3 linked regions of the Danio rerio genome follow. The protein of the gene in region 1 interacts with the protein of each later gene in a biochemical or structural test. Links are inferred from orthologs where the notes say so. Each region holds a gene or a part of one and is shown on either strand. Other genes may lie near its edges. The genes, in order: uba1, ube2s and ube2g1a.

The links.
Region 2: of the proteins of uba1 (region 1) and ube2s, one has a biochemical effect on the other in vitro, tested with the Homo sapiens proteins (8 studies listed by BioGRID, with this or other methods). The link is inferred for Danio rerio from reciprocal best matches to the Homo sapiens genes UBA1 and UBE2S.
Region 3: of the proteins of uba1 (region 1) and ube2g1a, one has a biochemical effect on the other in vitro, tested with the Homo sapiens proteins (3 studies listed by BioGRID, with this or other methods). The link is inferred for Danio rerio from reciprocal best matches to the Homo sapiens genes UBA1 and UBE2G1.

Annotation. Positions count from the first base shown.
Region 1 is NC_133198.1:23,551,065-23,561,689, reverse strand, and holds part of uba1 (ubiquitin-like modifier-activating enzyme 1), read right to left. Parts: intron 8,358-10,625; coding exon 8,241-8,357; intron 8,075-8,240; coding exon 8,016-8,074; intron 7,915-8,015; coding exon 7,746-7,914; intron 6,304-7,745; coding exon 6,169-6,303; intron 6,020-6,168; coding exon 5,913-6,019; intron 5,827-5,912; coding exon 5,736-5,826; intron 5,539-5,735; coding exon 5,406-5,538; intron 4,022-5,405; coding exon 3,924-4,021; intron 3,843-3,923; coding exon 3,696-3,842; intron 2,895-3,695; coding exon 2,718-2,894; intron 2,613-2,717; coding exon 2,505-2,612; intron 2,393-2,504; coding exon 2,312-2,392; intron 1,214-2,311; coding exon 1,061-1,213; intron 945-1,060; coding exon 779-944; intron 699-778; coding exon 502-698; intron 1-501. UniProt on the Homo sapiens protein: Catalyzes the first step in ubiquitin conjugation to mark cellular proteins for degradation through the ubiquitin-proteasome system.
Region 2 is NC_133191.1:14,026,832-14,038,118, forward strand, and holds the start of ube2s (ubiquitin-conjugating enzyme E2 S), read right to left. Parts: upstream 7,414-11,287; 5' UTR 6,934-7,413; coding exon 6,931-6,933; intron 5,802-6,930; coding exon 5,654-5,801; intron 5,559-5,653; coding exon 5,368-5,558; intron 1,635-5,367; coding exon 1,311-1,634; 3' UTR 1-1,310. UniProt on the Homo sapiens protein: Accepts ubiquitin from the E1 complex and catalyzes its covalent attachment to other proteins. Catalyzes 'Lys-11'-linked polyubiquitination.
Region 3 is NC_133180.1:31,602,588-31,612,761, forward strand, and holds the start of ube2g1a (ubiquitin-conjugating enzyme E2 G1a), read left to right. Parts: upstream 1-2,075; 5' UTR 2,076-2,193; coding exon 2,194-2,239; exon of another isoform or gene 2,240-2,765; intron 2,766-2,837; exon of another isoform or gene 2,838-5,847; coding exon 5,848-5,950; intron 5,951-6,358; coding exon 6,359-6,456; intron 6,457-7,086; coding exon 7,087-7,265; intron 7,266-7,364; coding exon 7,365-7,451; 3' UTR 7,452-7,488; intron 7,489-9,169; 3' UTR 9,170-10,174. UniProt on the Homo sapiens protein: Accepts ubiquitin from the E1 complex and catalyzes its covalent attachment to other proteins. In vitro catalyzes 'Lys-48'-, as well as 'Lys-63'-linked polyubiquitination. May be involved in degradation of muscle-specific proteins.

The sequences.
Region 1 (10,625 bases):
TCACCAGGAAAATAGTTCCAAGTTCATTTATTGCCACATCAGCAACTTGTGATTATTTCATGCCAAGACCAATATAGAAAAACATATTAAATAACTTAATTCAATAAGAGATTATACAAAAAACTAATATACATTTTTATACATTACATTAACTATTTTTATAAACATTACATTAAAAACAATCGACAAATAACTAAATGATCTCCATTAATTAATTCCAGTAATTAGAAATTTTTAATTATTATTTAACCCATGCCAGAAAAAGAATGAATTGGCATCAATGATTTGATCAGAATGACATTGGTTTTATGACACTGGAAAATGAAGAGATCACAGATAGAGTTTTTAGAAGTGATTACTGACAAATTGTAATTGGTAGTCAATCAATCAGAGCAACCCCAGTGTATACTTCAAAAAGACTGCCCATTTGGCAAAAAAAAAAAATTTCTAAATCGAGTTTGGGAATAAGGCTCAAGACAACATTTCAATATTGCTTGTCACCTGTAGGGTGTGTTCGATTGCATTTGGGAAGTTCTTGAGTGTGCAGATAGGAATGGACTTCTCTGGAGGATCCTGGCTGGAGCTGTAGGACTCTGTGATGAAGGGAATGACCACCTGCACGTTTCCTTTGGTGCCAAGAGTACCAGACTCCAGCAATGGCTTACGGTAGTACACACACCTCCGATCCATATACATACCTGGAAGGAGCAAACATGATGTTCAAGCAATGCATTTTCAACTGTGAGCAGCTGCACGATTTCTTAAAACTCTTACTTACGGGCATCTACATTGTCAAGAGCATTTGCCACTCCATCAAGGCATTCAAAAAAGTCATCATCATAGACCTTCTCCGTGTCCGGTCCCACACGGTTCTGGTGACCAGTGATACGGACTGACGGGTTCATCTGCTTCACTGCCGCAGCAGCAGTCTCACTCTTCATCTTCTGCTCGATAAAAGAAGAACAAAGCCATCAGCGATGTTATACAAAAGTAAGGCATTATAATCCTGTTTTTTCTCAAAATTCCTTCCTCAGTGTTAGAATGGGTCAGTCAATCGTACCGTGACATCCCAGGGTCTGAAGAGGAACTGTCGATTGAGATTGGACTTCTCAATGGTGTCCATGTCAGTGACTATGACCTCTCCTTCACCACTGGCCAAGCCCATCATAGCAAAGTTCTTCAGCAGCTCACAGCCAATGGCTCCAGCACCAACCTGAACACAGAAAGGGTCACTAAGGTGAACGCAACACATGCTAAAGCAGAGGTTTTTGTTCTTTTTTGTGTAAATGATACAACTACCTGTTGCTGAAGCATCAATTTCCTCTGCTTTAATATTTTAGTCTTAATTTGTCTAATTTTATATTTATTGACTTTTACAAATGGTTTTAATTTTTTATATTAATATTTCAGCTTATTGTCTAGCAAAAAAAAAAATAAAAATAAAGCTTTATTTTCGTAGTTTCAGTTTAACAATTAATTGTGGACTAAAGGCAAAAATAATCTAGCATGAACTATTTTTTTCAATATTGTTTGATGGTGAAAGATTACAAGTTTCTTTTAATATATAAATTAGGCTTTTACATTTTAAGATGCATCCTGAGGGATCAAGGTAGACTGCCTATATGTAAAAGACAGTATTGTTTCTCCAAAATAATGCATATTGTCAGTTCCAGGCAGGGCTGTGTCTTTTGTCTAACAAATGGCCTAGTGATGCTTTCAAGCAAGGCCCGGAAAACGATTTTGCTTTGAAGATATTGGAAAAATCCTCCTGGTTTGTCTCTTCTTCAAATTTACAACAGCGGCTTAAAATAACTAAAAGCGAGATGAAAAACAAATCTACAATGGTTTGAAAGCAAAACGTGGCTGATGTTATTGTCTGGCATTTTGTTCAGCACAAACCGTTTTGAATGAGCTTTTTTTTAAATGTCCAGTTTTAATTTTAAATATGCTTTATCCTTATCATACGTTATTTTTCTATAGTTTTCATACTTTCATCTGTAATTTTAGTATTTCAATTTAATATTTGCCAAAACATTTCAAATACTTTTTCCATAATATATATTTGTAATTTTTTCTAAGCCATTTAAAATGTAGTTTTTGACTGTATTAGTAAAAATTAAGCACTAAATAATTGAGGAATAAATGCATAAAAAAAGTTTGGATCAGCAAATACTTGCTTGTTTTGTTATAAACTATTCAAAGCTATTTGTTTGGTTCAATGTAACTTCAAGGTGACAAGGCATTGTGCAGTCCCTTATCTGGCATAGAGAAATCATTCAGTTTTGAAAAACAGCCAGTTTTAGATTCTCACCAGAAAATATCTCTGCTTGGCTAACAGCTCCTGCAGCTTGGACCCAAAGACGGCAATCTGGCCGTCATACCGGCAGTTCCTCTGTACAAAACAGATAACTGAATAAATTATTCTGTCTTAAACCCACAATCTTTTGAGCGAGCCATAACAATGCACAAATATTAAACAAATGCTAAAAATATAAAGCACTTACAGGAGCACACTCTTCCTCTGTAAGAATGACTTCCTCAGGCTCAGGTAAGCACTCCAAAGCATCAAAATACAGCCACTGCATGATGGGCATAAACTTCCCTGTGCAGGCCTGAGCAGATAAACAATAAAGAAGCATGATAGGTGAGGCTAACACATCACAATGCTGCATCTCACAGATCTAAAGTTCAAAGACAATAATGGAAGACCATATTACCTTCATAACCTCCTGGGCAGCAAGCCCACCAATAAAGGCATTGACGGGTGCCAGGTCTCCAGCAGCCACGCAGGCCAGCTTTTTTATGACTGCCTGGTCCAGCTCCTCTTGCTTGGCAGATCCTGTCTGTGCAGCATTCACCTCTTCAGCCAGAGTCATAAGCTCATCCGCATCTGCCTGCAATAGGACAGACAGAGAGAGAAAAATCACTGCTGAGTCACTGAGCCTGATATCCACAGTACAGCATTCACGTAGAATTAAAGCTCAACAGTGCACTTCTTGAAAGTATTAGACTGGGAAGTGGAACACTAAGTGAACAGAGAAATCTGGTCAGCCCAGTATGTTCAGAGTGGAATTAGAGATGGCTAGTTGGGATGGGATTTCCATTACTTGCATTATAGTGAATATACTTAGTTAAAAAAAATTAATAATAAAGAGTAAAGAATGTTTGCTAACAAATGACTGTGGGCCTGTCAACTACTTGTCACTTCACGCATTTTCGGATCGTTGGATTTCGGATACAATTTTTGTTTTTTCACCCTTTATGCTCTCAGATTTAAATTTGGGCAAATAAATGTCTCCACTAGATGAATATACTTTGCTGCATGCAAATATAACTAAATTATGTAGACTAAAGCAGGGGTCTTTAGCCCACAGATCACAATTTAGTAGTGTGTCATGAAAGAGCGCTGTTTTTTCTTTTCTGAATAGACTACACAACAAATAATTTTAAACTACTTATAGCAGAAAACACTGTGAACTGTAAAACATTTAGGGCAACACTCACAATCAAGAATTGATAAACTCAAACCTTGATTTGCAAGTCAAATAAAATACACTTCAGAATATAAAAATCACACCCTATTTCAGATGATAAAAAAACAAAACAAATAAAAAACAATTGACACTATAAAGTGACTAATCCAGAAAATACACTAGATGATTAGAAATACTGCTAGACAAAATAAAAGTCTTCACCTGATTCCAGGGCTTTGGCAGACGACTGTGCTTCTTCTCAAATGCATGCAGTGCCTGAAAGCCCACGTGGAGTTGGCCTGGACGATCAAATTTGGCAAAATCAGTCAGCAAGAACTCTGGTTCGGCCATGGAGGAGGACAGGGATTTCTGGTGAAGAAAGAAGTGCGTTTAAAATCCAGCAGGGGATTTAATTTATTATCAACAATCTCAGCCAGGGAATCAACTTACAAAGGCAATCTTCTTGGGCATCTTCACTTGTGTGACAATACCACCTCTCACATAGTCAGAGAATGAGCTGGTGTCACAGATGCTGAAAGTGTAAGGACCTGAATGCAAAAGACATCAGTCACAAAACACCCCACCAGATGGAAATGTAAACAGTGTATGGTTAACATCACAACTCTTTAAAGAGGCCTCAGATTCTACAGACATTCTTTTCGGTTTTGCATCAGTTTCTCTTTCTTTAGGAGAAGGGTAGAAACTTGATGTGATTGGTTGCTAAAACAATTGACAGGTGTTGCCTCATGCTGATCCAGTTACATATTAAAAAGTAGGCCAGCATAAATGTTAAAAGCTGTCAAACAGTCAGAAGATACCAGCAGCAGCTTAAAAACTTTAAACATGTGAAATGGTTGTCAAATTGCAGGTATACAGACACAGCCTCACAGACTGAAAGAGGAAATTAGTGAATGAGCTAAAGTACTTTCCAAAAGTCCATTCCGTTATCTTGCCAAACATTCTGAAGGCAACGGTTATCAATAGTATCTATCAATATAGTATCTCATCTATGGCCATATTCGAGGATCGAGAGAAAAGATTAAAGAAAAGAAAGAAAAAAAAAAACTATGACATAACTAACAAACTACCCTTTAGTTAAGCATTACATTGTAATGTAATTTAATGTTCATAAAATGGTTATACAATGCTACCAAGAAAATCTAGCTAAACAGGAATACAGCAAACATCTAAAGTGAAGCTATTACTTACTAGTCTGTTAGTACTAGCTAATTACTTCACAAAACAATTAAAAAGTCCACAAATTTTGTTGATTTTCTGGAATAACTACCTATTTAAATAAATGATTGTATTGGCTTAATTCTGAATGCATTGTTCTATGCAAGAAGAAAACATAATACAAGGTTATGAAACAAAGCTCCTAAACTCCATTCATCTTTATTTCTGTGGTGCTTTCACAACGTAGATTGTGTCAAAGCAGCTTAACATAGATGTTCTAGTAAATTAAAACAGTGTCAGTCCAGTTTTTAGAGTTGAAATTCAGTTTAGTCCAGTGTGGTTTAATTTTCACTGCTGAAAATCCACAAAACCTGCTTGCAACTTGTATACAGAAACAGCAGAATACAGCAGGCATCAACAAAATTTAATCCTTTCATCTGTTCTTGTGCTCGTATGTAAAATTACTTGAATTTCAAATTAGCAAGGGCAAAGTGGGCAAAAGATTAGTGTGTTAAGATACTTACTTACAAATCCATTAACTATCCATTTTTTTATTTTTATGCAACCTCTGGGACATAAGGCAGACCTTTCTGTCAAGCACTGTACAATTATTGCTTTTTTTTTTTTTTAGTTAAGCCGACTGGGCTTAGAGTCAAACCGGCTGAGAATTGATCAAACATTTTTTAATTTTTAGCTGACAAGGATTGATCTCAAAGGTTTCTGGGTCTGTACATTTTATTATTTTTTTTAACTTACCCAGTGTCTTGATCTCTACTGGATCACAGCCATTAAGTTCCGTCATGCCCTGCACTTCTGTGAAAGTGACATAGTCTCCGCTCTCAAATCCGTGCCGTGCTTCATCCAGACACGTAACCACACCAGCGCTGTCCTTTATTTATTTATTTTACACATACACAGAGAGAGAGAGAGAGAGAGAGAGAGAGAGAGAGAGAGAGAGAGAGAGAGAGAGAGAGAGAGAGAGAGAGAGAGAGCAAAAAGTTCAATCAGCCAGAAAGTTAACAAATAACTATAACTACTTGATCCTGCATTAAAAAGGCTCAATGGTAGAATCACACAGGCTCTTACTTTTGTGATCATTGAGATCATGGCGCTCAATGGCTGTTCTCCGTTTGTGTCGAATACTATCATTTCCTCCCCAAAATCACAGAACAGTTGCCTATTAAATAACAGAATGTTTATGAAAAAGTTACATGGAGGAAAAAAAAAACCTTAAAAAATGTCATATCTTTTAAATATTCATACCCAAACAGTCCACGTGTGTCTGCCACAATCAACTTGATGCCATTACTGTGGCAAAATTCCCCGATACGTGTCTGTTCATCAAGACTAGAGTTGGTGAGCACAACAACCTGGACAAAAGCATACAAAGACCTATTAGCTAACAGCTTCAAACTTCAGTTCAGCTATAATGCAAAGTTTAATATGCATTTAGAGAAAATAATTTGTAATCCTTATAAGAGATCAAAGTTAAAGTCCAGTGGAGCAATAGCAGCAGTACCTGAAATTTGGTCAGGTATTCATTGGTGAGGGTGCCAGTGTAGGAGGTTACAGGCACATAACTGTTCAGTTCTGCCAGTCGAGGCTGACTGACATCAGCACGGTTCTTCCCAAGATCCTCCTCACGCAGGTAAAACTAGGAACATGAAGCAAACAAAATTGTATTTCTACTACTGTAGATTATTAATGTTTATTCTTACACTTCCAGAAACAATATATGGATTTTTTTTCATTTGTTTATGTAGAGAACAGTACAAAAGTTTGGGTTTGGTAAGATTTTAAAAATTATTTTAGAAAAAGTCTCTTGTGCTCACCAACATTGCCTTTAAAAAAATCTATATATAATAATAATAATAATAATAATAACAGTAATATTTTGAACTGACGTACACGTTTATTCATTCATTTAATTTTTTTTTCATCCCAATTCTACAATGGCAGCATATCTTCACCCGGAATCAGGAGATGCACAAATTCATATTTTTTGTCATTATTACGAATTTTTACGACAAACACGTTTTAATACATTCATAACAGCCTTCAAGTTTTACCATCATGCTTTAAAAAATAAAAATCACAGTAAATTTTAGCATCAATAATGCCTAATATTAACTCCTGTATAGCAGTCCCACAACATTCTGTCACTCGATGACACACGAACAGCCTGTAAGAAATTTCTAGTGGCTGTGAATGACCTTTTATATAATGTTAATGTTGTTTGCGCGTGTTTACATAGATGATTATGGCCACGGTGTAAAAGCACAGTACAGTTACAAGCTAATTGCTACATTATATCATTTTAACATAATATATGCCTTCAATGATATGCTGAAGATAAATACCACAAAAAAAACGCAACTGGTATAACTACAGCAGTCGCCTTCATCAATCTCATATGAAGCAAGAGCTCATGATGACGTGTGCAGGTGTTGTAGTGGTGTCCCATTTCTTAGAGATAAATTTTGAAGCCCTTCCCCTTAACACTCTGTTTCAAGGGCCAAGAGAAAGGGGTAATAAACTGCCAACTTATCCAGCATGTTTTACACAGCGGATGCCCTTCCTCCTGCAACCCAGTACTGGGAAACATCCATACACTCTCACATGCAATGACAAATTCTTTCACAAATTAAACTTTTAAATAATATTTTCCTCTATTGAAATATATTTGTTAAACATTAATTCATGTGATAGCAAAGCCCAACTTTCAGCAGGCATTCATTGTTTTCAGTATCACAGGATCCTTAAAATAATGCATATTTTGTAATTATCTATTAAAAAAAAAACATGTCAATATCAATACTGAAAATAGTGCAGATTAATATTTTTGGTGGAAAAATACATTTTCCTCAATACAAAGAACAGCATTTCATAGCAAAACAATAAAAATCAAACTCAGATTTTTGAATAAACCTTTCAAAATCTGAACCCAAACTATGAATGACGGTGTAATTTAATTGTTGTTTGTAGACTTTTTTTTTTTAAACGTAATTTTAGCCCCTTACTCAACGCACAAAACTATCAGCAAGGGCTGTTTTGCTTTCACACAGTTACAGTTATGACTCATGACCAACCACTGACCTGTGATGAAAGGTCCTTCCACTCGGCCACTCCCTGATCGTGCAGGGTGACGCTTTTGACTCCACCCAGAATGACATTCTTAGCGATCTCTACCCCTAAACCTCGCAGTCCCGAGATAAGAACATTAGAGCTCTGCATACGCTTCATAGCATCATGACCCAGCACGTACCTGAGAAACGTATACTAAATTTAGCTTCTGCTCACATGATCAGGTTTGCTTGCTCAAAAAAACATTATGATACATCAAACTAAAATGCAGGCCAGACTCACAGCTGTCTGGAGTACAGGCCCTCGTCGATCTCAGCATCATTTCCATTCTTAGCCATGCCCTGCAGAGACCAAAACCACAGTTAGCAGACTATAAATAGCCATGCACATAACTTATGAAACTGGCTGCCTTTCAAAAAACACAAGCGCAGTAAAGAATGAAGATAAAATTCTCTAAATATGTTCAAGCCCCAGTGGTGTTCAAAACAAGTATTGACTTGAACATACGTTAGCTGGTGTGTGTGACAGTTCAGTTCTGACAGAGTTAGAGGAGGAGCAATGGGATCCCGTCTTCGTCTCTGATCCTGACACGCGACGCTTCTTGGACAGCGGCGAGCTGGACATCTGGAAAACAAGAAGAAATATATTTTTCGCAGGAAAGTGCGAGTAGTAGTGCCTAAATACTGTTACTTTAACAGCAATTTTCATGAATTTCATCATGCGAGTTGAAAGCGAGTTTACTTCATAACAAAAAGTACAGTCATTAAAAGCAAAATGTCTCTGTACAGTAAAAAAATAATAATGTTCCAGATAAACTTTTACATCTGGCATCAAAATGTGTTTTATTGAATTGTTTCAAGTCTACAAATGTAGAAATTACAGCCAACACATTTATCCGTCTTTCCTTTCCATTCCTAAAACAGGTGTACGTATTGGGCCTGGGACAAAAAACGCTTTCAAGGTTTCCTGCAGTTTGCAAAAGTCAAAGATTTAAAACTGCAAATATTTTCTGTTTTACCATTCCTAAAGTATATCTAAGGTTTTTATAAAGTATTTTTTTAAATGTGTTGTAAAGAAATCTGTGCTTATGAAACAAATGAAGAGAGAAGTCAATGATAATTTTAATTATTTAGCCTGACATGTTTCCAAAATATTATAAATGTTTCTTAAATAAAATAAAATTTTCAATGGGTAAAAGATTTAGTTTTATACCCAGATATTTAAAAAAATAATTAAAACAACTTATTTTAGAGCAGTAATTACAATACCGTGAAGGTTATCATAACGTCAGGAACTTATACTGGCCCATGCCTAGTATGTATGGGGTTTTCAGATCTCTAACAGCTACAAAATTTTGCTGGTAAAAAATAATCTAATTCTGTAAAACATTATGCTTTTTACATTTTATTTCACCTTCAAATCAAACGTCCGATTTCAGAGAGCAAAGTTTAATTCTTATATGGTTAGTGAGCTTCAGCAACATGTCCTATATTGTTTAAGAATTACGGCAGTAGTCAGAGAATAGGTGGCCTGATTGAGCACATTCAACTACAAGTGGACAAGCTTAAAACCTTTCAGAACTTACTTTGCACTGCTATTTATCATTGTCCACTTGAAGCTGGATCAACAAAAGTGCATCTTAACACCAGATGTAAACAGGCCCTTAAATTTGGCAAAACCACAAGTCTGTTTTCAAAAATGAGAATCAAATTAACATCTTATTAGAGGTTTCATATCCTTTTCATCATAATTGTTTTGGCGCCTGGCAAAAGCATATGTTTCTCTCACTAACAAATTAAACCAGTAGCTACATTTCCATCCAAACTATTTTGAATATGGGCATCAAAATAAAAAAAAATCAGCTGCCGGAAACGCCATGATGGCCATCAATTTTGAAAATGCGCATAAAAAATGTATGCACATAACCGAGTAGAATCAATTTTATTTGACAAGAAAAGATTCCAGAAAAAAAAGGTTGTTATTTTGTTAAAAGAGATCATGTGATGGTTAAACGTGTGTGAACGAACAAACCAGCAAGCTGACCACATCGTAAAGCATCTGAAATGCTACTTTGGTCATTCTAAACAACCCTAAGCTTTTCAGTATTAGTGTTATTATGTTATTAATTACCTCCAGAACTTTCAAGAGCATGTGTGCTCTGCATCTCATGCCTTCAAACTCCACCACGTTTTCGTTACGTGCTGACATTGTCTTCTGAGGCGCAAGTCACTTAATAAGGAAAAGATTTACGCAGCAATATTCGTTTTTACTGTTGATATTTGATGCCAGTTAATCAGGAAAGGACTATTTTGTTTTCTTTGACTAGTTGGATAGAAATGCTGCTTTATTCGCACTTCTATGCGATATTCCAGTTTTGCGCACAAATTTAATTTGAAGTTTTGGATGGAAACATGGCACAAGGTGCAAACAAACAACAATAGCAATATACAGATGATTTGAAGAAATAATTAAGCACATGCACAAAAAGAGCTGTGCTAATTGTACATTTATCAGCAAAAATGTTTTCAATCTTGATATGTAGCCAAATTGGTGCAAAAGTACAATTTCAGCATGCGATTTCAAGAAGAGAGCAGAAATGATCATGCTGAATTATGCCCTTATATGCATAAATGGATATTTCAGCACTGGACAGTTCCTTTAAGAGAATCAAATCAATTGTGCCAGCAACGCAGTGGAGCCAGTGTCATTGAGAGGGGCACAGAAAACTCTAATCATCTAATAAAACCAAGGCTAGTTATTATAATAAAACTATTTATATTTCTCAAATAACGGAATTGAAAAATGTTTGTACAATAAAAACTAAAAAGTACATATGAAAGCACCAAACCACATTAAGATCACTTAGGATTTACAACAATAAGCCTTGTCTTC
Region 2 (11,287 bases), on another chromosome or scaffold:
ACCATTTTTTTAATCCATTTAACCGATTTCCAGGTCTGTGGAGGAGCACTTTTAGCTTAGCTTAGCATAAATCATAGAATCAGACTAGATCATTAGCATCTTAATACAATAATTTTAAAAGGGAGTTTTTTTATGTTAGTTCTTAGCCATATTGAACTAGAAAACAGCAACTTCCAATTGTAAGAATAGGAAAACCATCAAAATCTTATGAAATTTGAGCAAGATGCTAGTTGTCTAATCCGATTCATTGATTTATGCTAAGCTAAAAGTGCTCCTCTACAGACCTGGAAATCGGTTAAATGGATTAAAAAAATGGTAAAAACTCAACTGTTTAATTGCAGGGAAGCTCTAAAATGAGGTTATTTCATCCCTTAAAAAGTGGAATGTTCCTTAAAAGAGCCTTTAGATAGAGACCAGCAGAGCCAGAGAAAAATGCAGCTATAGACATTTAAGAAAAATCTATTTTTAACAACCAAACTACTCAAAAGATGAGGACTACTTTCCACGATGAGGTTGCTCTTGATGGTTTAAATTTCATGATCAACTATTTGCCCATATTGCTCTGCCCCAACTGGCCTCGAGGCTTTAAGGAATCCATCTTAAACATCAGTGTTGGGTAAATGTAGCTGTTTGCTTAAAAAATGGGAACAAAAGGATTTTTGAAAAGAGACTATGAAATAGAAAAACAAAATTAGTACAAATTGGAAACAAAAATAATACCACACAAATACGCACTCACAAAAAAACAAAACAAAAACTCGAGTTTCAGACCACATTTTACCCCTCCCCCGTCTGTTATTCCTGATCTTCTTTCTCACCACAAACACACATACAATGATCCTATCCTGTGCAATGTACTTTTCCTGTTTAAACCCCACTGATAAACCTCAATGGGTTCAGTCCAAATATAACAAGACAGAATTACCGTCCTATCACACCTGCAATCTATCTAAATATATTATAAATTCTGTGCCGACAATATACACTAAAATCCAGCTGATGGTCATTATGTAATGCTAGAGGCCACAAATAAATGTTCAAAAACTTTTACTACCGCTTTCATAATCTGAACAATGATAAAACTTTCAAAAACATGGATGAAAAACCCCTTTTGTGAATGAAACAAAGAGAGAATTGCCACGAGGACAGTTCAAGTCCTGAGAGTAAAGTGGGAAGAGACGAATGCAACGAAAATGAGAGGAACATGACAAAACCAATGTGCCATCCTAAAACACAAGGACAGTTGGAGGAGGAGAAAAGGTGGTCTGCACACTTCAATATTTATATATACACAGAAAAGCACAGATCTTTTATAGCCGCCTCAGAGCTCGTTTCTTATCTGTTTTTTTCTTTGCGACTATATTAGTATTGCTAATATTGGAGTTGTTGGTGCCAGTACCCATTGTTGGCAAACCTGCCCCAACTACACGTTTGTTTGGGTCTCCTGCATGTTTCTTGGGTTGGGGTCCGTCTGCAGGTTCCTGAGGGGCCCCTGAAGTGCCTCCCATAGCATGAATCTCTGTTAGAAGATGAGCACGGGATGCATACTCCTTATAGTCCTCCAATAGTAACTTCCCAGCCTCTTCATTCAAAGCCGACTCTGGGTTTGGGTGGATCAGAAGGCACTTGATGGTCTAAAAGAAAGATTTGAGAAGTATGGAGGGTAAACAAGCTGTATAAAAAAAAAATCTGCTCTTACGAGTTCAAAAGTTTAGAATATAATGAAGATCTGGTCATCACAAATTTCTTGTTTCCATGGCCACATCTAACCTTGTTTGAACATACGGTTATTGTTGTAATATCAATACTCATTTAATAGATTTACATTGACTAATAGATTCAAGGTCTAATAGAACCACATTGAAAAAGCCGAACTGAATGGAACAATAGGATGAACTGTGCTGTGTTTGAGTTTTATTTCTCCAAGTAAGGAAAAAAATGCTCTAAAACATAATATGACAGAATAAGGCTTATAATAGCGCCACACCACACAAAGTTCTGTTATTTTAAAAGAGATTATTTATTCTGTTGAACACTCAAAGGTGTTTTGATGAAAGCTTAAAATCCTCAAACCATTGACATCTACGATAAGATTACAGTCAATGGTTACAGGTTTCCAGCTTTCTTTAAAATATCTTCTTTTGTATTCAAATGTGAGAAACTCAAACAGGTTTGAAACAAGTGAAGGGAGAGTAAATGACAGTTATCTCATCAAGGGTAAACAATAAAAATCAAGATCGACTTAGAATAAAACTTATGGCTACTGAAAAATTATCTTTGCCATTTAAATGAATAAAACTAATGCAACAATATTATTAGTTTGAACAAATTTTGTCATAATTGATGGAACTAACTACAACCCCAGATTTTAAACTATACATACACATGGATATAAAGATAGCCCAGTTTAGTGTCTGTATCAAATTAAATTGTGATTTTACATATAAAAGCATAGTAATAGAGCTGCACAATTAATCGTTGAAAGATCGCGATCTCGATTGGAGATCTACAATTCTGCCAATCATATTTTTAAGTTCAGAAGAGAAGAAAAGGCGGCTGCACGAGTCTTTTCATTGTTTCACACACGTTGCTCAGTCACATTGACACCTCCAAATGATGTTGAATGAGTCACATAATGTATTTATAAGGTATGATTCACCTAAAAATGTCATTTTTGTTTTCATATAATGATGTTTTCGCGGCCGGGAAATCACACGTGACGAGCTGCTGACCGTGAGCTGTTATCACAGAGAGGGCGCACGCACGCTCTACTTAATGATAATTTAGTGAACAGAACCTGCATATGATGCGAGTAACAGGTAAATAATAATCAGTAATGCAACATGTAAATAATATTCAGTTTGTGGCACAGAGTGATCGTTTGGGAGCAGCGCGCGTAGTATGAACAAGCACTTAGCAGTCAAAATAAAACCGAAAGTGTGCACTTCATTTAAATGATCATATCGCATTTTAGAGTTATGATTACTGCAAGCATTTGATATGTTTTTTTTTTCTTTCATAGCGACCCCACAGTTGTGCATGAAAATAAATGTTTACAATGTCAGTATAACTACTCTAGCCTATATATTGTTGAATATAATCTGATAATGGCAAATGTCTGATTTTACCAGTGAATAAATTTGTCTAATATGACAGATTGCAAGCATATATCTCAAACATATTAATTCAACATCAGAATTATTATAAGTAGAATAGAATTATTTATAAAAACCAGTAGACCTACACACAATATTATTATTGATGTTGTGCTATATTGTTTTACCATTCCTTTATTTTACATCTACAGAATCGTGAGAAAATCGTGATCTTTATTTTGAGCAAAAATAAATAAATAAATCGCGATTCTCATTTTAGCCAGAATCGTGCAGCTCTACATAGTAATTTCAAGTGAGAGTTTCTAAATGAGTAACAATTAGAGCTGCTTTTTTTTTTTTTTTTTTCTTTTTTAAATAGTTGCTAAATGATGTTTAACAGAGCAAAGAGATTTTCACAGTATGTCTGATATTTTTTCGTCTGGAGAAAGTCTTATTTGTTTTATTTCAGCTACAATAAAAGCAGTTTTTAATTTTTTAAAAACCATCTTAAGGTCAAAACTATTATCCCCTTAAAGCTATTCTTTTTTTGATAGTCTACAAAACAAACCATCGTTACACAATAACTTGCCTAATTACCCTAACCTGCCTAGTTAAGCTAATTAATCTAGTTAAACCTTTAAATGCCACTTTAAGCTGTATAGAAGTGTCTTGAAGACTATCTAGCCAAATATTATTTACTGTCATCATGGCTAAGATAAAATAAATCAGTTATTGAAATAAGTTAGTAAAACAATTATGTTTAGAAATGTGTTGAAAAAAATCTTCTCTCCTTTAAACAGAAATAGGGGGGAGGGGAATTAAACAATTCAGAGGGTTTAATAATTCTGGTTTCAACTGTAGTACACATTTGCTTTCTGCGATATAAATTGCGACATGACTAAAATTTCACCAAATGACTTGAATATCTCTATTTGAAAAATAATTGATTCATTTTGATTGATTGGCATGATTTGGCAAGGGGAGGGAACCAGGATCCATAAAACATAATGAATTACAAGCATATAAAAACAGAATAGATCAAATCTAAGTAAAATAAACAGTAAATTAACAGTTTATTGCATGTAAATGTAAATTATCACAGCAAAACTGCATAAATGACTATATGAATGAGTGATGCACTGATCTTGTTTTTTTTTTACATGGCCAATCCAGATTTATTTAGCAAATTTATTCAATACCGATTCCCAATTATACATAGGGCTTAACACTTTTTTCAGAAGCTGACTTTTAAAAGCAAAGCCACTTCATTAATTTGAATACAATAATACCCTAGGTTTTACTGTACTGGTTTATTGGACTGTTTTGATGGTAAACTATTTAATTTTTATTTATAAATGAAGCTTTATGAAGTGTAGCTAGCAGAACTGGGATCAAATTGTCCTTCTAAACTGATCTGGATTAGATTATGGACTAAAGTCCACAATGAACAGGAAGCTGCTGCAACTTTTATTTTTATATTGTGACTCAGTATATTAAATGAGAAAACAGTGGGCATGGCTTGTTTTTTCTGCTGCAAGCTGAATGGATGTAGTAAAGTAGGCATTTCATTCAGAAAGATAGTAAAAGGGGTTTTGAAAGTGATTTCATTTCAGCAAAACAGATTGATTAAACGTATATATTTATTAAATAATATTTTAGTGACTGAACATCTTTAGAAATAGAAAGATAACACATTAAATTCATGCAAAATATTGGAAAAAACAAACAAATTACAAACTACACAATTTACAATTTGTTAATTATATTAATTAAATATATATTTTTTGTTTCTTTTGATTTTCTTCATTCTTTAATTTTGATTTTAGATTTTTCCCTAAACATATAGATTAGGGCTACTAATTTTTGGACTGCTACCTTAAGTTATTTTTTTAGATTAGCTCCAGATTTTGCTTCAGTACTGAATAATCAAATGTATATGTACAAATACAATATTGTAAAGCATCCTATAGAAAACATTAAAAAGATTTGTGAGGGGTGTACTCATATACTGGGCACTGTATGTCCATGTACACGCACATATTTAATTACAGTTTAGATTTATTAATTCAACTGGTAAATCTAAGATGTTGCAGAACCTTATATTTTAGGGCAGGGGTGTCCAAACTCGGTACTGGAGGGCCTTCCCTAAACACACCTGCCTGGACTGAGTTTGGACACCCCTGTTTTAGGGAATTTCTGACCATGAAACAAAAGGGAAAAAAAATTTAGTCAATGTTTGAAAGAACTTCAGAAAGAATAAAATATTACTTACCAACAATACATGTCTCAAGCCCAGCTCTGCTTTCCAGTCTCTCTTGAGTACATTGACACAGATCTCACCCTTGTGCCCAACATTAGGATGGAAAATCTTTGTGAGGAAATAGCCTCTGGGAGGAACGGCAGGAAAGTCCTTCCCAAGCACCAAACGCATCCGGAACACACCACCTGCATATGGAGTTCCTTCTGTTGAGCAGAAGACGGGGGAAAACAAGTTGCAAGTGCAATGATTAGATCACGGCTTTCATTGAGAAGAGGAAACTGTGATAATCTCTACTTGCCTGGGCCCTCAATGGAAGTGTGCAGCTCTGTGATGTCCTCTTCACTGGGGTAGATTTTGATCCCCTCAGGAGGATCTGCTGCTAAAGCTGAAACTTCTTTATAGACGAGTCTCAACACTTGAGGCGGCAAGTTCTCCACATTTGAATTCTGCACACAATAAAATGTCAAATGTAACAAATTGCAAAATTTAAAAAATGGTGGGGAAAACTTTTTATTTAGAAAATAATACAAAATTATTAATTTTAAGAAACTTTAGCCTATACAAGTTCATAAACTTGATACATAATACATACATTACGGGTGAAGATTTTGGGATCAGTAGGATTTTTCAATGATTTAAAATAAGCTCATGTGGCTCACCAAGGCTGCATTTGTTTAATCAAAAATACAGAACAAATTACATAATTGTGAAATGTTATTGCACTGTAAAATAACCGTTCAAAAGTAATTCATAATTTAATAATTTATTCTAGTGATTTTAATGATGAAATTTCAGCTTTATTATTTTAGTCTCCAGAGTGACATGATCCTTCAAAAATCACGCTAACATTAGTTATTATTATTAATGGTAATAGTAATAAAAACAATAATGATGGAGTAATAATTTCATTTGAAACCACATACAGTAAGCAAGCAGTTATTTGATAGTATCACTACTATTAAAATAAACAAATAAACAAATGTAATAAATCAAAATAAATAATATAATGGAAAAAAACAAGAGCCTAGCACATCTGCTTCACCAAACAACAAAAATAGGTGGAATTTCGTTCATTTATCCACAATAAAATACACATTTATTTAATTAAAAAGCAAAAACACGAAGAAAAAAAGTGGAACAATTGTGCGACGTATATCATACTGAGCTTGTATCGTCTGGTAATCAAGCACTTAACAATAAATTATATTTTTCGGAACTTTTAGTTAGGATAAAGTAATAATTACCCAGTTACTTTAATATAATGCTTTATTACAAAAAGTATGACAAATGCCACACAATTCGACATTAGTGATGCATTAACGCGAGAAAAAGTTAAAAAGCCTTTTGTTAACAAACGTTCGTAAAAAAATATTAATGCTGCATAATACAGTGCTTATAATTACTGTCAATTTAACAATCAAAGCATATTTGAGTTTAAATCACATTACTGTAAAGAGTCTCTCAAAACAAGCTGAACGACTAAAAAGTAAGACAAATAAACAGTAAAGCTGTTTTGTTGTTGTTGTTGTAATCAGTTTGATGAATCACTCGTAAACAATACATAATTGAACCTACCATTTTTAGGCGTGCTGGATTTTTTAATCGGCAGCAAATTTGTCCCAAAGGAGAACTTAGCAGAACTGACACTCAACCGGCCGATTTGACGGATTCGGTGATCTGTAACCGGACTGACGGAACAAAACGATAACGAATCTAAAAGTTGCAACCAATCAAAGATAGCAAAGTATTCCAAGACGCCTGACTATTATATAAATAACCAAAACCAATTTTCACTGTGATGTCGGTCGGCTTGCTAGTGCTGCTATCAAACCAGGCTAGGCTAACTGTGGGATAGCTAGCTATTCTCCAGAGCTGCCTTTTGTGAAACTTCAATGCGACGTTGTCTTCAGATCAAATATCTCGTGTAAAGATTTTTTAAATCCAACGTGGTGTTAATTTCGTCTGCGGTAATTGATTTGTTTGATAGCTAGTCTGCTGCTGCTGACGGCTACTGTAGCCTGTTATCAGCTAGCAGTCTTTGACACGGAACAAAAATACAATTCGTCTAAGCAGCAGTTCGAAATACGTTTAACCAATCAGAATGTGAGAAGGACTTCACGTGCTCAACAATTAAAGCGTTTTGACCAATCAGAAGCACGGGTTGTGCTGACGTAGCTGGCCTTGGAAACCACTTCGACCAGAGAAAGTTGAGAATGCGAAAGATGCTGTTTGCTAATAGGTGCGTTTGAAAAACTCCTGCCCTCCCAGAGGCAGGGACTGATGTGTGGCTTCAAATCGACATCCAATGAAAGACGCAGAAAGAAATATAAGAAAAACTTTAGAGGTTTTTTATTACTGTAATTGGTTTCTTCTAGTGCAGATCACGATGGAAGAATTCTGAAAGATTGAGTTAAACTAAAGATTAATTTGCCTTAAAATACAGTTTTACTCACTCAACAATTAATGATTAAAAAGCTACATAATTTTTATTTTATTTTATGTAATATTTTAACAACATGTAATGATTTCACTGTTTTTACTTTTTTATTTTTTTTCCTGCATTCTGTATAAAATGTCAAATATTCCTTGTTTTTTATTTGGCTTTTTTTTTTTTTTTTTTTTTTTGATAATTCAGTTGCCATCATTTTGTTATTGATAATCGAACGAGGGTGTGGCAAACAATTTACCTTATTTCTTATTTAATTTCAATTTCATTTATAAAACACTTTAAAACAGTTGAAAGTGCTGACAATAGAGAGTAAAACAAAGCGTAGCACTTATTATAATGTCCACCTTGTTACTCCTGTCTAACTATATAGTTTTTTCATGGTAATAAATAAAATCAATACACATTACAAATGTTTTTTGGTTACTTGCATCCAAAGAACTAACCAACAGGATTTAATGGCATTGCAGTCTCGAAATACATTACATTTACAAAGTGCCATATAACAAGTCTTTTTTGAGATAATTCTTGTTTAGTAATACCTTTAAAAAATACTATTGCTATACTATACTATTGGTAAAGTGAAAAACATTTTAGCTCCTAGAAAATGTAAATATTACATAAACTATTTATTTGAAACACCTTCTAAAAGATATGAGAATTTTCTGTAATGGGGACATTTAGCCTGTGTTACATGTGAAAATTCTGTAAAAAATGATAAACCGTAATATCCTTAGCTGCACCTGTATATTTTTCTTATAGTTTAATAAGTTCTCCTTCGACTGAAATTTAATCTTGGAAAATAAAACATTTTTTTCAGGGACAGTAACTACCCTAAAATGTCACTGCATAGTTGCACGGTTTCAAAATATCATGGTATTGTGGCTCCAAAACATGTTCTTTTTAAATGTCTGGTTTAAAAAAAATAAAATAAAATTTGGAACAAACATATTTTATTTTGAGAAACATTTAAAATATTTTGGAACAGTAAACATGTCAGATTAAATAATTCATTAAATCACAGATTTATATACAATTTAAAATTGCATCTTTGGATATCTTTTCTGCTGGAGGTACTGTTGTACAAAAAACAAAAACAAAAAAGTAAAACAAAAATCTTACATACTGTAGGAACAGTATAGCAGAACATCTGAACAACTGTTCCAAACCACAGTATACCTTAAAAACGGTTTTCGTCCCATGCCTGAAATATACACAAAACTACATTTCAATTAGTACAACTGCTGTTTGCAGCACAAAAATAATAATGTTAATGCAAAATAAGAAAAGAACGTACTTTATTAACTATTATTTATATTCTTTGTTTGCAGTATATGGTGCTGGACACAAATCTGTAGTTTGATATTAATTGGTCTGTTTTTACTTATAAACAATTATATGGAGACTATATGAGCTGAAATCTTAATGATATTTTTTTCTTAATTTGTAAGTAAGTTTTACAGTAAAAAAATCTAGTTGGAAACACTTGTTTTGTTAACAAAACTACCGGAGGTCTATCATATTATTGAGGATGAAACCTGCAAAAATAAATTACACAAATGTTGGGGGAATAAGAAAATGCATGTTGACCTGAGGAAAAGTACAGAACTTTCTGTTTAGCATTTTCTCATTCCCCCAACACTCATGTAATTTATTTAATTGTTTTCTGCCCACACTATTATTTATTTAAATATTTATTTATGCATGAAATTGAGGATTTATATATACATTTATTTATTTGAATCTTTATTTACAAATTTATTTTATATTTGCATATTATTTATTGATTAATTTGGCTGAAAGACAGAGAAAATATGACTCCATTTCAAATATGAAATATGAAACACTCAACAAATATGTATTTACACGTTTACATAAGTAAAAAATCAGTTAAATGGGCTCAATTCTGTTTACAAATTTCTCTCTTTCTTTGTGTGTATACACACAAAACTTTAGGTTTTTGAGATGAACATATACTTACTACTGTAATGAAGACATTTTCCCTGACATTTATGTTGTCATAAATATTGTTACTGGTTCTGTTGCCAGTGCTGTATTTTGCAGGCTATATACGTTTAAAGAGTGTATAGTAGCATTCCTTTATGTCAAATGTCTCTGAATTACTGTTTATATGTAAGCTGCAATGTATATGGACCATGTAAAATCCTCTCACGCATCGCTCATCCGTAAATGCTGTTGTGACAATAAAGTGAGTTGAGTTGGGTTGAATGTAAAATAGCCAATAGTATCTGGATGCAGCCTTTATGATGCAAGCTGAGATTGCATGCCTCAGCGATGCAGTGTCAGACACTGCACTCAAATGTAACGAGTGACGTCACTGTGATGGTATAGGGGTGGGGTTCGGTGAGCCTATTAAAAAGCTTTGGATGCAGCCCAGATTGCAACTAATAGTTTTATTCATTAATAAATTAATTTTGTCGTTATAAGGAAAACGGAAATGCCTTACTATGAAATGAAAGAAATGAATTGCTGAAATGCAGCTGGATATAAAAAGAAAAAAAACTCAAAAAATAATAATGTTGCAGTATTTCAAGACGGCCGCCAGAGAGCACTCAAAGGCTAAGTATGCTGGATCATTTACTAAATATCAGTATTTAGAATCCATTAGTTAATGCCTAATCATTTAGCTTCTTTAAAATTGTTGTTGCCATAGAAACATTCTGACAGAATCAGTTATTTGCCTTATTTAAAAAAGAACATCTTACAAGAACATCTTACAATCCACTCATCCTGTGGTCATCTGCAGATGCATTGTCTGTAAGTTTATCATCTGTTTGTGTTTATATTCTATCTCAGATATTATTGGTATGCATAGATAACTATTTATGTACATCTTTTACATAGTTTCACTCAGTTTCAACATACTCAATGTGGCATAAAAATAAAGCAGCATTCTTCCACAATCTCACGTCTTGGAAAGAGTTTATCTGTCAGTCTAACTTTGGGAAGAACACTAAGGCTACACATTGTTCTGAGATTATTGCTGCTCTTCTTTTTAGTCTTCTATATGTTCTGTTTTTAGCAGTTAAAAAGCATGTGTCCACAATATAATAAGTTTATATTGGACAACATACACAGCAAAATATGGGGACCCAAAACAACTCTATGGGTGTTAATTTCAACACTTTGAAAGTGTCTCATGGGGTCCACTCAAAACAAAGTTAAATCAACACTTTCAAAAGGGTTGGCACATTGACACCGAAGTAAGGGTTAATTTTAACTCTGGGCAGAGTTAAAAAATTTAACTATATTTAACACTGCCTGGTGTAATATATTGTTATTTTATTCAACTCTCTTGAGTGTAAATATGGTAAAAAGGTCAAATAGACTGTAAATTACAAAAGAAAAAACATTTTATTTGAAAACATTCACCACTTCAACAATTCATTCAGTTTTTAAAATGCAACAATGTCAAATATGCTTTAAATGTTTTATTAGTACAGACAGTATCAACAAAATATGTAT
Region 3 (10,174 bases), on another chromosome or scaffold:
CTTTTTAATTTAAATGAGAAACTTGGCGAAACTGTGGTGCTTCCATTATGATGCAAATGTTGCCATTCTTGTGAAATTCTCTGCCGAACCACTTCTCTAAAACAAACAGTCATTCATTGTAGCACACGTAAAATATATTTTACAGTATGTAAAATGGGCGACACGATGGCTTAGTGGTTAGCACTGTCACCTCACAGCAAACTTGCTGGTTTGAGTCCCGACTGGGTCAGTGGGCATTTCTGTGTGGAGTTTGCATGTTCTACCTGTGTTGGCATGGGTTTCCTCCAAGTGCTTCAGTTTCCCTCACAGTCCTAAGGCGTGTACGTGAATTGAAGAAGCTAAATTGGCCGTGGTGTATCTGTGTGAATGGATATTTCCCAGGACTAATTTGCAGCTTGAAGAGCATCCGCAAGTTGGCGGTTCATTCTGCTGATGGATAATGGGACTAAGCTGAAGGAAAATGAATGAATGAATGAATGAATAAATGAACGAACGAACGAATGAATGAATGAATGAATGAATGAATGAATGAATGAATGAATGAATGAATGAATGAATCTACATATACACAATATGTAAAATTTTTACCTAAAACCACTGACCTGTCATCATGTCTTTCGTGTATTTCAAATAATGATTAAATGTTTTGCATGTGTGTTGTTGCATGCACTATAAATTATTATTTGATGTGGGTTGCCATAATAACAAAGTTTATGGATTTTGATTAAATAAACAAGAAGTTAGACACATAATAAACTGAAATTAAATTAGAGTCACTATTCAGAACATAATATCATTTGCAAGCCATTTATATTTAGTTGAAAGTTGTTGTCATTGAAAGTACAGCGGTATTCAACCACAGTAAAGACTAAATAAGACAAAAAAAATCATGTTTAAGGTCTTTATTGTGCAGTTTCTCTGACAAGATGTACACTGCAGGTCAGATATTTGGGGATATTATGATTTGTCAGGGTTTTTGAAAGTCTTTGCTGTTCATTGATAATGTAATTGATGTAAAATGTAAGAAATTGTATTTATTTCTGTAATTCGAAACATTGTCACTCCAGTCTTCTTGAATTATTTTGGTCTTCAATCATTACTACTGGTTCTCATTTTATCAGTTCAGAACTAAATGTTTCTGCTAATTTTAGTGGATATTTTAACTTAAAAAAAAAACACACACACATACACACACACACACACACACACACACACAATTGAACTGAAGTATAATGTTTTGAAACCTAAATATATTTACTGTCACATGTAATTAATTTAATGTATCTGTGAAAATGATTTGAATTGTGCTCTTACTCTTGTACTCTTAATATACGACTGTTTCCATAAAAATAAATGAACATTGATAACAATCAGAAAAAAAATATATTCAGCAGCAAATCAGCCTATCAGATTGATCCCTGAAAGATAATGCAACACTGGAAACAAGTAATAACAGCAGACATTTCTGCATTGACTTTGAATTAGTCAATTGACTTTTGTTTGAAAGTCAAATTGAGAAGTTGTTTTAACTAAAAACTGCATTTCAAAGTTTTTATTTTTATTTTACTTTTGTCCTGATGAGCAAAAGAGACGTCTTTCGAAAAAAAATGTTTTCAAATAAAATGTTTTTATCACGCTAGTAAGAAATACACAACCAAGACGTTAAAGTGTCATGAACGGTTATGAGAGCTGTGTGTAAGTGGATGATTCTCATAAGGATCGCCTCTATCACACATTTTGACTTTTATTATTACGCTGTACTGTCTCCTAGTGGTTGAATGACACTGTACTGTCCTCAACAATCAATTTTCTCTAATAAAAATGGCACTTGCGAAAAGAAAAAGCAATAATAAATGTATGATTACAGATTTTCGCTATAACGAGACAATTGATTAGACTCACCTACAACGTCACTAAAGTGATAACATAATTAATCTCGCAGTCAATGCCATCGCCGTTTGTTAAAAAACAAGCATATTTGTTTCTGACATGCGCGAATCCTCCGCCCATAAGTACCCTGGAGCACACTCTCGCCGCGGCCTCGCGGAGAGCAGAGCGCATGCGCATACCGCATCAGAATGTTGAGCAAAACGGACTAGAACAGAGACGGGAAGACGCGCAAGCAAATTCAAACATATTTTTTCTCCTTGTCGAGGTGAACGTCTGTCGACCTAGAATATAACTTATAAAAACATGACGGAGCCCCAGTCAGCACTGTTACTCAGGAGACAGCTAGCAGGTAATATTTGAAGGCTGTTGGCGAAGGCAGGCTAACAAACCGGTGAACGTTTTAGCCAGCCAGTACACCCGAGACGGAGCATTTTAGCCGTTAGCCGCTAGTTTAGCCGCTAACAAGCGCTGTGTTTATCATACAGCATTAGTTAGCATGTTAGCAGCTAAAATAGCCGGCTAAAGGCAAGCCCCGTCGTCTTTTGTTATTTTAAAATGCTAGTTTTGTACTACTCTTGCTAAAATATCAACATGAGAGTTTTTCTAACATAATTAAAACAACAATACGCGCACGTTTGTTTAGTGTTATTCGGTTTATTCATGTCAACATAAGTGTCAGTCACTTTTTTCCGTATCACACCGGCGGGGCCGCTCTCGATCGGCTACCCCCGTGTTTTGACATCTGTGTCCGGACGCAGTTTCCGCAAGAGAACCAGTCATCTTATAAATGGAGGAAAAGTCTGTCATTGGTCCAATTTCTGCTCACTGTCTTATCGTTGTCCGTCAAACCAATAGTATTATCGCACGGTTTAAAGGTGAGATTTATAAGCCGTATATTGTGTGCCATTACCCCGCATCGGGTTGATCAAATCCCTTTGTTTTTCTAGGCTGGCTAGCAGGCTAAAGCTAACAAATTGATGGCTGCTGTTTGATCACCAGCTCACCGGTACAGCGAGAACTGGAGACCCATAGTCTCTGTCACCATAGACCTGTGCGGGAAATTGGCTCTTATTAGAGTCGTTATGAGTGTTTCCTATTGTTCTATGCCCAGCACACACACACTGAGCAATATGATCCGCGAGTGTCAGCTTTACTGAGCTCAACCAGAGGAGGATTTCTCCACTGGGCCCCATTTGCGCAGTGCAGCCAGTGAAGTGAGTTAGTTATAGGGGTCAAACTAGGCAGATTACCTGAGTTTGGGGGTCTGATGAGATCAATTAAAAAGCAAAACAACAGATCTGCTACATGACAGCTGTCTCTTTGCCACAGACAGCTCAAGCAACCCCATCCCCCCAAATTACTCATCTTACACACACATAAAAGCAACTCGCTTGTTTCTTTCCAAGGGTCGCAGGGTGAGCGGCACCCCGGGCCTGTCATGGCGTCAGGTTCTGCAGAGGCCCTGCGCTTGATTGACTGATTCAGGGGGTCAGGGGCTGTTTTGGTTGTCTCCTTTCAGAAGAACCAGCATGGTGAACTCATCAGCCTTGATCTAAACTCAGTGAACCCTTCGTGAGAACAAAAGCCTCACAACGTTCATTAATGTTGGCCCGTAAAAGATACGGGCCAGGAAAATGCGGGCACAACTTGTGTGATGTTAATGCCATGTGTAGAGAGGTTTTTTTTAGAAATCACTCAAAAATTACCTTTAATTTTTTACCCACCCCAAGCTATTAAACATGTTTTGAGACTTTAAGTTGAAAAAAAATTAAGGTTTTGGGTAAAAACATTGCAGCGTCTACTAGAGCCGTGTGATTAATCGAAATCTAATTGCAGTCACCATTTGAAATGTTGCGATTAGCTAATCACAAGAGGCTGTAATATGAAGATATATTTGTATATTTTTAATTCATTTATTTCCCGTCCAGAGCAAACGCGTGACTGCGTTTTTGTGACAGTCTTACTAGACAAATTAGTGAGCACAATTGAGTGATGAGTGTCTTGCTAAAAAGTCAATTGAAAGTATTGCCAGGGACACTCAATTTAGTAGCAAGCAACAGCATAGTACAACTGCAGAGTTGTTTCAGACATGTTAGTTTGCTGAGTGTTTTTTTTTTATTATTTATTATTATTGTTTGTATAGTACGCTACACTATCTCGCTAACTTAAGTTGAACTTGTTTACAGAAAGTTAAGGTCATTTGATTTACTGTTCTATCTTTGCATACTGTTTCATCTTTTTGTTTACTTTTTGTCCTGGGAGAGAGGTTGGCTTTTCTAGAGAAAAATTTGTGTTTAATTTCTAAATATTTAAAAATAAATTTGATTAAGTAAGTTAATATCTTTTCTGTTTCTTTTTTTTTTTTTAAATAACGCTCACTGCATTTTTCCTGAAAATTTAATACAACTACCAAATGGTTTAGTTGAACCCTGTTCACTAGCATTAGATGAAGAGTTGTTTCCTTTTCCCCAAAACCTTGGCTGAAGAAAGTCAGTCATACACTGGTTGAATGGACTGCAGGATAGTAAATAAATTATGTATTTTTTTGCCTTCAGATAATGTTCTGTTATTAAAAGCACTACTGTTATGTCACTTTATGCGCATGCTTTTGTAACTTGTGGGTTTTCTTTGCCTGTCAAGCTTTTTAACATACATTGACAGGAAATTCTCTGAAAGTGATTCCAATGATATTGTATATCTGTGGTGTTATTGTTAAATCTGCTGTGTGGACATCTCTCTTCTAATTGAATTTGAAGGGTTGGTAAACCTTTCTAGTAGTGGCTGTCATCCATTCTTGGTTTGAACAGCCCTTTATGCTATTTGTGTGATTGTTGCTTAGGGCTGGTCGATATGGCAAAACTGCAATCTTGATAATTATTTTGCATATTGAATGATAACGATGTATATTGCGATACCAGTTGTTAATGCTTCCAGATTTAAAAGAGTATTCCAGCAATGACTGAAGCCACAAAAATTAGAGGGTCTATTAAATGGCATAGCATATTTTCAGCCGATACTTTTTCAGTGGCAGAAAATTTTGGGACATCTCTAACATCAACACACTTTTAGATTCTCGTTGTTGCACATTTCTGTTGTGTGATTGGCTCTTAGATCAATATAGAGTAAAAAGTCCAAAGCTTATCATTGTTATTGACACAAACTTCATCGCAATTTGATATAATACAGTTTATTGGCCCAGCCCTAGTGTTGCTATAATAACACTTCAGCACTCTTATATTGGAAGTAGGTTTGTTGAAAATACAATTGAGTCATTTAATAACCATCAGATAGTGGTAAAAAGGTGGCTTTGACAGAAGAGACTCTTCATATGAATGCCAGACTGTCTTAGTGATTCATGTGCAAAAATGACACATCCATATGACTGGATAACCCAACTGTCATCTTGTTTATGACTACAAGGTGGTCATGCAGTCAACCTCCAGATATTCTGTTGTGCTCCTTCTTGCAAACACACAGAAGTTCAGAGTATCTGAACAAACAGACAGGCGTTCTGTGACTAAAGAGTCGCTCAGCTGATCTGATAACAGACAGGCAAATTGGTCATTTCTTGTCTGAAATGTTGCCCAGATGTAGGTCTAACTATCAGAACTCATGTGAAGGCATGTATGCACCTACTGCCCTGAAATGCCCCAATTTGCCCTTTGAGTAGTTCCATGCAATTGTCAACCAAAGTTTTCACCAAAATAGCCAAAAGTATGATCACATTCATAAACCTCATGTTTATTTTCCTCATTTAAAATATGTTTACAGATTGATATTTTCTGAGCCCATGACACTGTGGTTGGTTGTTTTGTAAAATATAAACCGATGTTTCAATATAATATTAACTCATACTTTCTCTGTGAATTTGTTTTACGTTTTTACTGCAAATGTCACATCTATAACACTTTTCTGTACAAAGTGGCTAATTTGTACCTTGATGTCTCTTCCTGACAGAACTGAATAAAAATCCTGTGGAAGGTTTCTCAGCCGGTTTGATAGATGATAATGACCTCTACAGATGGGAAGTACTAATAATTGGTCCTCCTGATACACTCTAGTAAGTCTTTTTGTTGTTTTATAAAATGTTATGTTGTGTGACACCTCACCAAAATTAAATTATTATCAATCAGCTAAAGAATTAGATGATGCAAAATGTAAATTGACATTATTTACTTGTGTAGAGCTACAGTATAGGTATTCTCACAATCTAAGATGGGTCAGGTCAAGTTTATTTCTTGATCTTATACAATCTACAATGCGCCAAAGCTTTATTACATGGTAATACACAGTGTATCAGGCAGGTAGCAGTGCAGTTGTAGTATTAAGTCATGATGCAATGGGAAATTAACTGAATAAGTTTATGTATTTGTTGTGATGCCATACTGAATCAATTTAAGCTGTTGCCTTTCATTTAAAGGTTGTTCAATCACAGTATTATAAGCCTTTTATATTTTTCTGTTTACAGTGAGGGTGGTGTCTTTAAAGCCCATCTTACATTTCCCAAAGACTATCCTCTCAGGCCTCCTAAAATGAAGTTCATTACAGAAATATGGCATCCAAATGGTAAGTTTGCCTCCTAGGGTCTTTTAAATATTTAATATATTTTAATTATTTATACTTTTTTACTATTTTGTCAGCCATACATTTAATATCGTTGAATAAATACACAATTTTTTGTGTTTTTTTTTTTTTAGTTGGTTGGAGGGATGGGTTGCAGATTTCCAAAAAAAATCAAATATGAATTGTTCTTATAAATCCTTTTGAATCTCTGGCTGATATGGAAACTGTTTCGAATTTACACTGACAGACTTCGTTATAAATTCATCCGCATGCAGGTTTTTGTTTGTTGATTCCATTTGCAGCATTGTGGATATTTTTGATCCACTTAGGAAATATCTAATAATCTGCCAAACCTAAATACTGACATGCTCTTTATTAGGCTAATAATGACATGAGTTTTTTTTTTTTTTTGTCATTTTGTACAACATTTTAAGTTCTATATGTTTCTGAAACATTTACATTTTATTATTTGCTAGCTATTATAGTCATGTAATAATCCTTCAGCCACAATACTTATCTTTATATAATATTACTATGTTAATTAAATGATCATCATCAGCAAACAAAAATGGTTAATGTGGTATATAATCCACATTAAAATCTCATGTCCTGTCTCTGTATTGTTCTGCACAGTTGACAAGAATGGTGATGTTTGTATTTCGATATTGCACGAACCCGGGGAGGATAAATATGGCTATGAGAAACCAGAAGAGCGCTGGCTCCCCATCCATACTGTAGAGACCATCATGATTAGCGTCATCTCTATGCTAGCAGACCCCAATGGAGACTCCCCTGCCAATGTTGATGCAGCAGTAAGTATAACGTTAACTTGTAAAACCAGATATGATTGCATGTTGGCAGAAGATCTTTACTTCATGTGTTAATTCATTTTTATCTGTTCAACATTTCAGAAAGAGTGGAGGGAAGACAGACATGGTGAATTCAAAAGAAAAGTTGCCCGCTGTGTAAGAAAGAGCCAAGAGACTGCCTTCGAGTGATATACATCTAGCAGCTTGTAGCTTCACTATTTTCAGGGTAAGCAAGTGGACTTTTGGCATCTTATTTGACTGCCAATGTCTTGTGAACTTTTTTTTTTTATTTCCTCAACATGTCTGAAACAAACTGAACATTCATCGTCCAAGAAAAAGTTTATTCACACTCATTGTTTTTTTTAATCTGTGACTATTTCTTATTTTTATATTTAAAAGGGGAAACACACTTTAAAGTTGTTAACTGCATATGTTTGCGCACTATATAAATAGTCAAAGTATTACAGTTTTTGCTGAATTGTAAAATATTAAAATCATACAATTGCCATACTGCCCCACCTTCCTATACAGCTCTAATCCTCTCCAAGCAGGACTTTTTGTCAGACTTTGCAGAGATCTGTTGTGGTAATGTCAACCTGTTAGAACAGGTTCATGAAACTTGTTTAAAGTAGAGGTTCAGATCTAAAGATTATTAGGTAACAACAGTGGCTCTGTTGTCTGCTTAGCCTTTTATTGGTAGTCTTTTAGGGGCCGGTCACACCAAATGTGCTTTTCAGTTCCGTAAACGCAAGGTGCACCACACTGCCTTTTGCTTACTTGAGAAAAGAGCAGTGCGCTAGGCTGGATATGTTCTTTATGTTGCTAGACGACCACTCTATCAATGGTCTTCAGGCTGGAGCGCAAGTTTGCTTTTGGACAAATGCAGGGTGCGTAAAAAGCATGCAATATGCTTACTGCCAATAGAAAACTTTTTTTTTTTTTTTTTTAAGTGCATCTCGCCACAAAAAATGTTTAGTGTGGTAGTCATCTTTTAAGACTTGTTTATAGATGGTCAGTTTATTTGTATGCTCATCAAAGCTCACAAACCAGTAGTGTTGTTAAATTCTATCAAGTATGTTAAAAAACTTTTCTGTTTTAATTTGTTTTAAAATTGTTTGGCAAAGCTGAATATTCAGTAGCCATTAGTCCTGTTTTTAGTGTCACATGATTTTTCCGAAATCCATTCTAATATACTGATTTACAATAGGGAACTCCTATCAGGATGCTCATTACCCTATACTGATATGACAGCTGTTTGCATTAATTTTCAGTGAACTATGTGTTGCTGCTCCATCTGAAAGCACGTGGAAATACTTTATTTAAGACTATGTTTTTAGTTTTATTAGTTTCTGTTTCTTGTATCCAATATGTGACTAACAACAAAAACAAACAAAAATGATGACCCCCCCCCCCCCCCCCCCCCCCCCCCCCCCCCCAAATGATTCGCATAGGCTACACATAAATTGGGCCGAGAAGCTAGTCTGCTTGTGGAAAGCTTCCATTCCAATCATGGAAACTGGTTCTTGTGTTTTACATTGTCATATTTTGATTGGTTTTTGCGATTGGCTACATTTTGTAATCATTATCAGCTGATCAATAGGAGCTTTCTAATTGTTCAAAAGCGTTTAAAAGAACAGCATTGATTTAAAACTTTTTTACTGTAACTTTTGTTTAATCTTATGCATGATGAATAGAAGTGTTGATTCTTTTCAAACTTTTGATGGCTTTAGGCTTTTGAACCAGCGTGTGCTTTTAAGTTGTGTTTCTAGAGAATAAAATCTAAGCTGAAGCTGAAATGTATCTGTCGCTTGTTTTGACAGGCGACAGGCCCAAATCAATTGAAATAAACGTGGTGATTGTTCTGACATTTGAACCCTCTCTAATATCGCTGTTGGTGTCTTTTACAGGTCTCCAGTTGAGAAACAACATGGCACTGTTTTCTTGCACTCTACCACCCTATTGCTGGACTGGTTTTCATTGAATGTTGGCAGTAACAGACTGGCATTAATAGGCTGCAATAGAACATAAGGCCATCACCGATGCTGACAGAACACACCAAGCAAGTGCCAACAAAAAAAGAGAAAAATACAACTTCAAAACAATTACGCTTTTTTTTTTTTCTTTTTTTTTCTTTTTTTTTTTTCAAGTTTATGAACTGATACAACTTTTCAGGAAGAGATTGTAAAGATGTGTACATAGCACAGACATAAGAACCGGATAATATATAATAACTTGTTCCTATCCATCCAGCAAGACTTAGTACCAAATAAAAATAGCAGTTCTGTAGTTAGAGTGTGACATCATGTAAAGTTTCTCGAAGAGTCTAGTTCATCTCCCCCTCCTGCCACCTCACAGGTGCGACTGCCTGTCGGTTTGAACAAAAGTCTGCTTTGGCTATTCTCACTCCTTGCGGTTTAAGGTGGCGAAGGCAGGGGTAAGCTATGGTTAGGATTCAAAGCATGCACGTGATGTTGGACAGCTTTCTCACTCGGGACACTTCAGGTAAAAATAGCTGTAAAGCACGGTCATTTTCTTAAGAATTAGGGGTCATGAAGGTCCTTCTCTGATTTGGTTTTTAAATAGGGTGGGTGGGGGTTGCTCTTACTTTGGATGACTGCTTTCTGAGTGTCAGATTCTCACCTTTGCTTTTTTTTTTTTTTTGTCCATTTGAGGCGGGGAGGAAATGGCAAGGAAACCCATCAGATGTGATTTTCTTCTTTTTCCTGCATGTTTTAAGTTTTTCTTTCCTGTTTTTTTTTTTTTTTTTCAAAAGTGCCTCCAATTTAAATCGCTTGGCTCATTACATGCCCTGCATCAAATGGGAGCTAAAGGGAGGAACGTGATTTAAAAACTGCTCAACATCCTCTCAAGCTTGTGTGAATGTGTGAGGTTTATTTTTCTTCATAACCTTC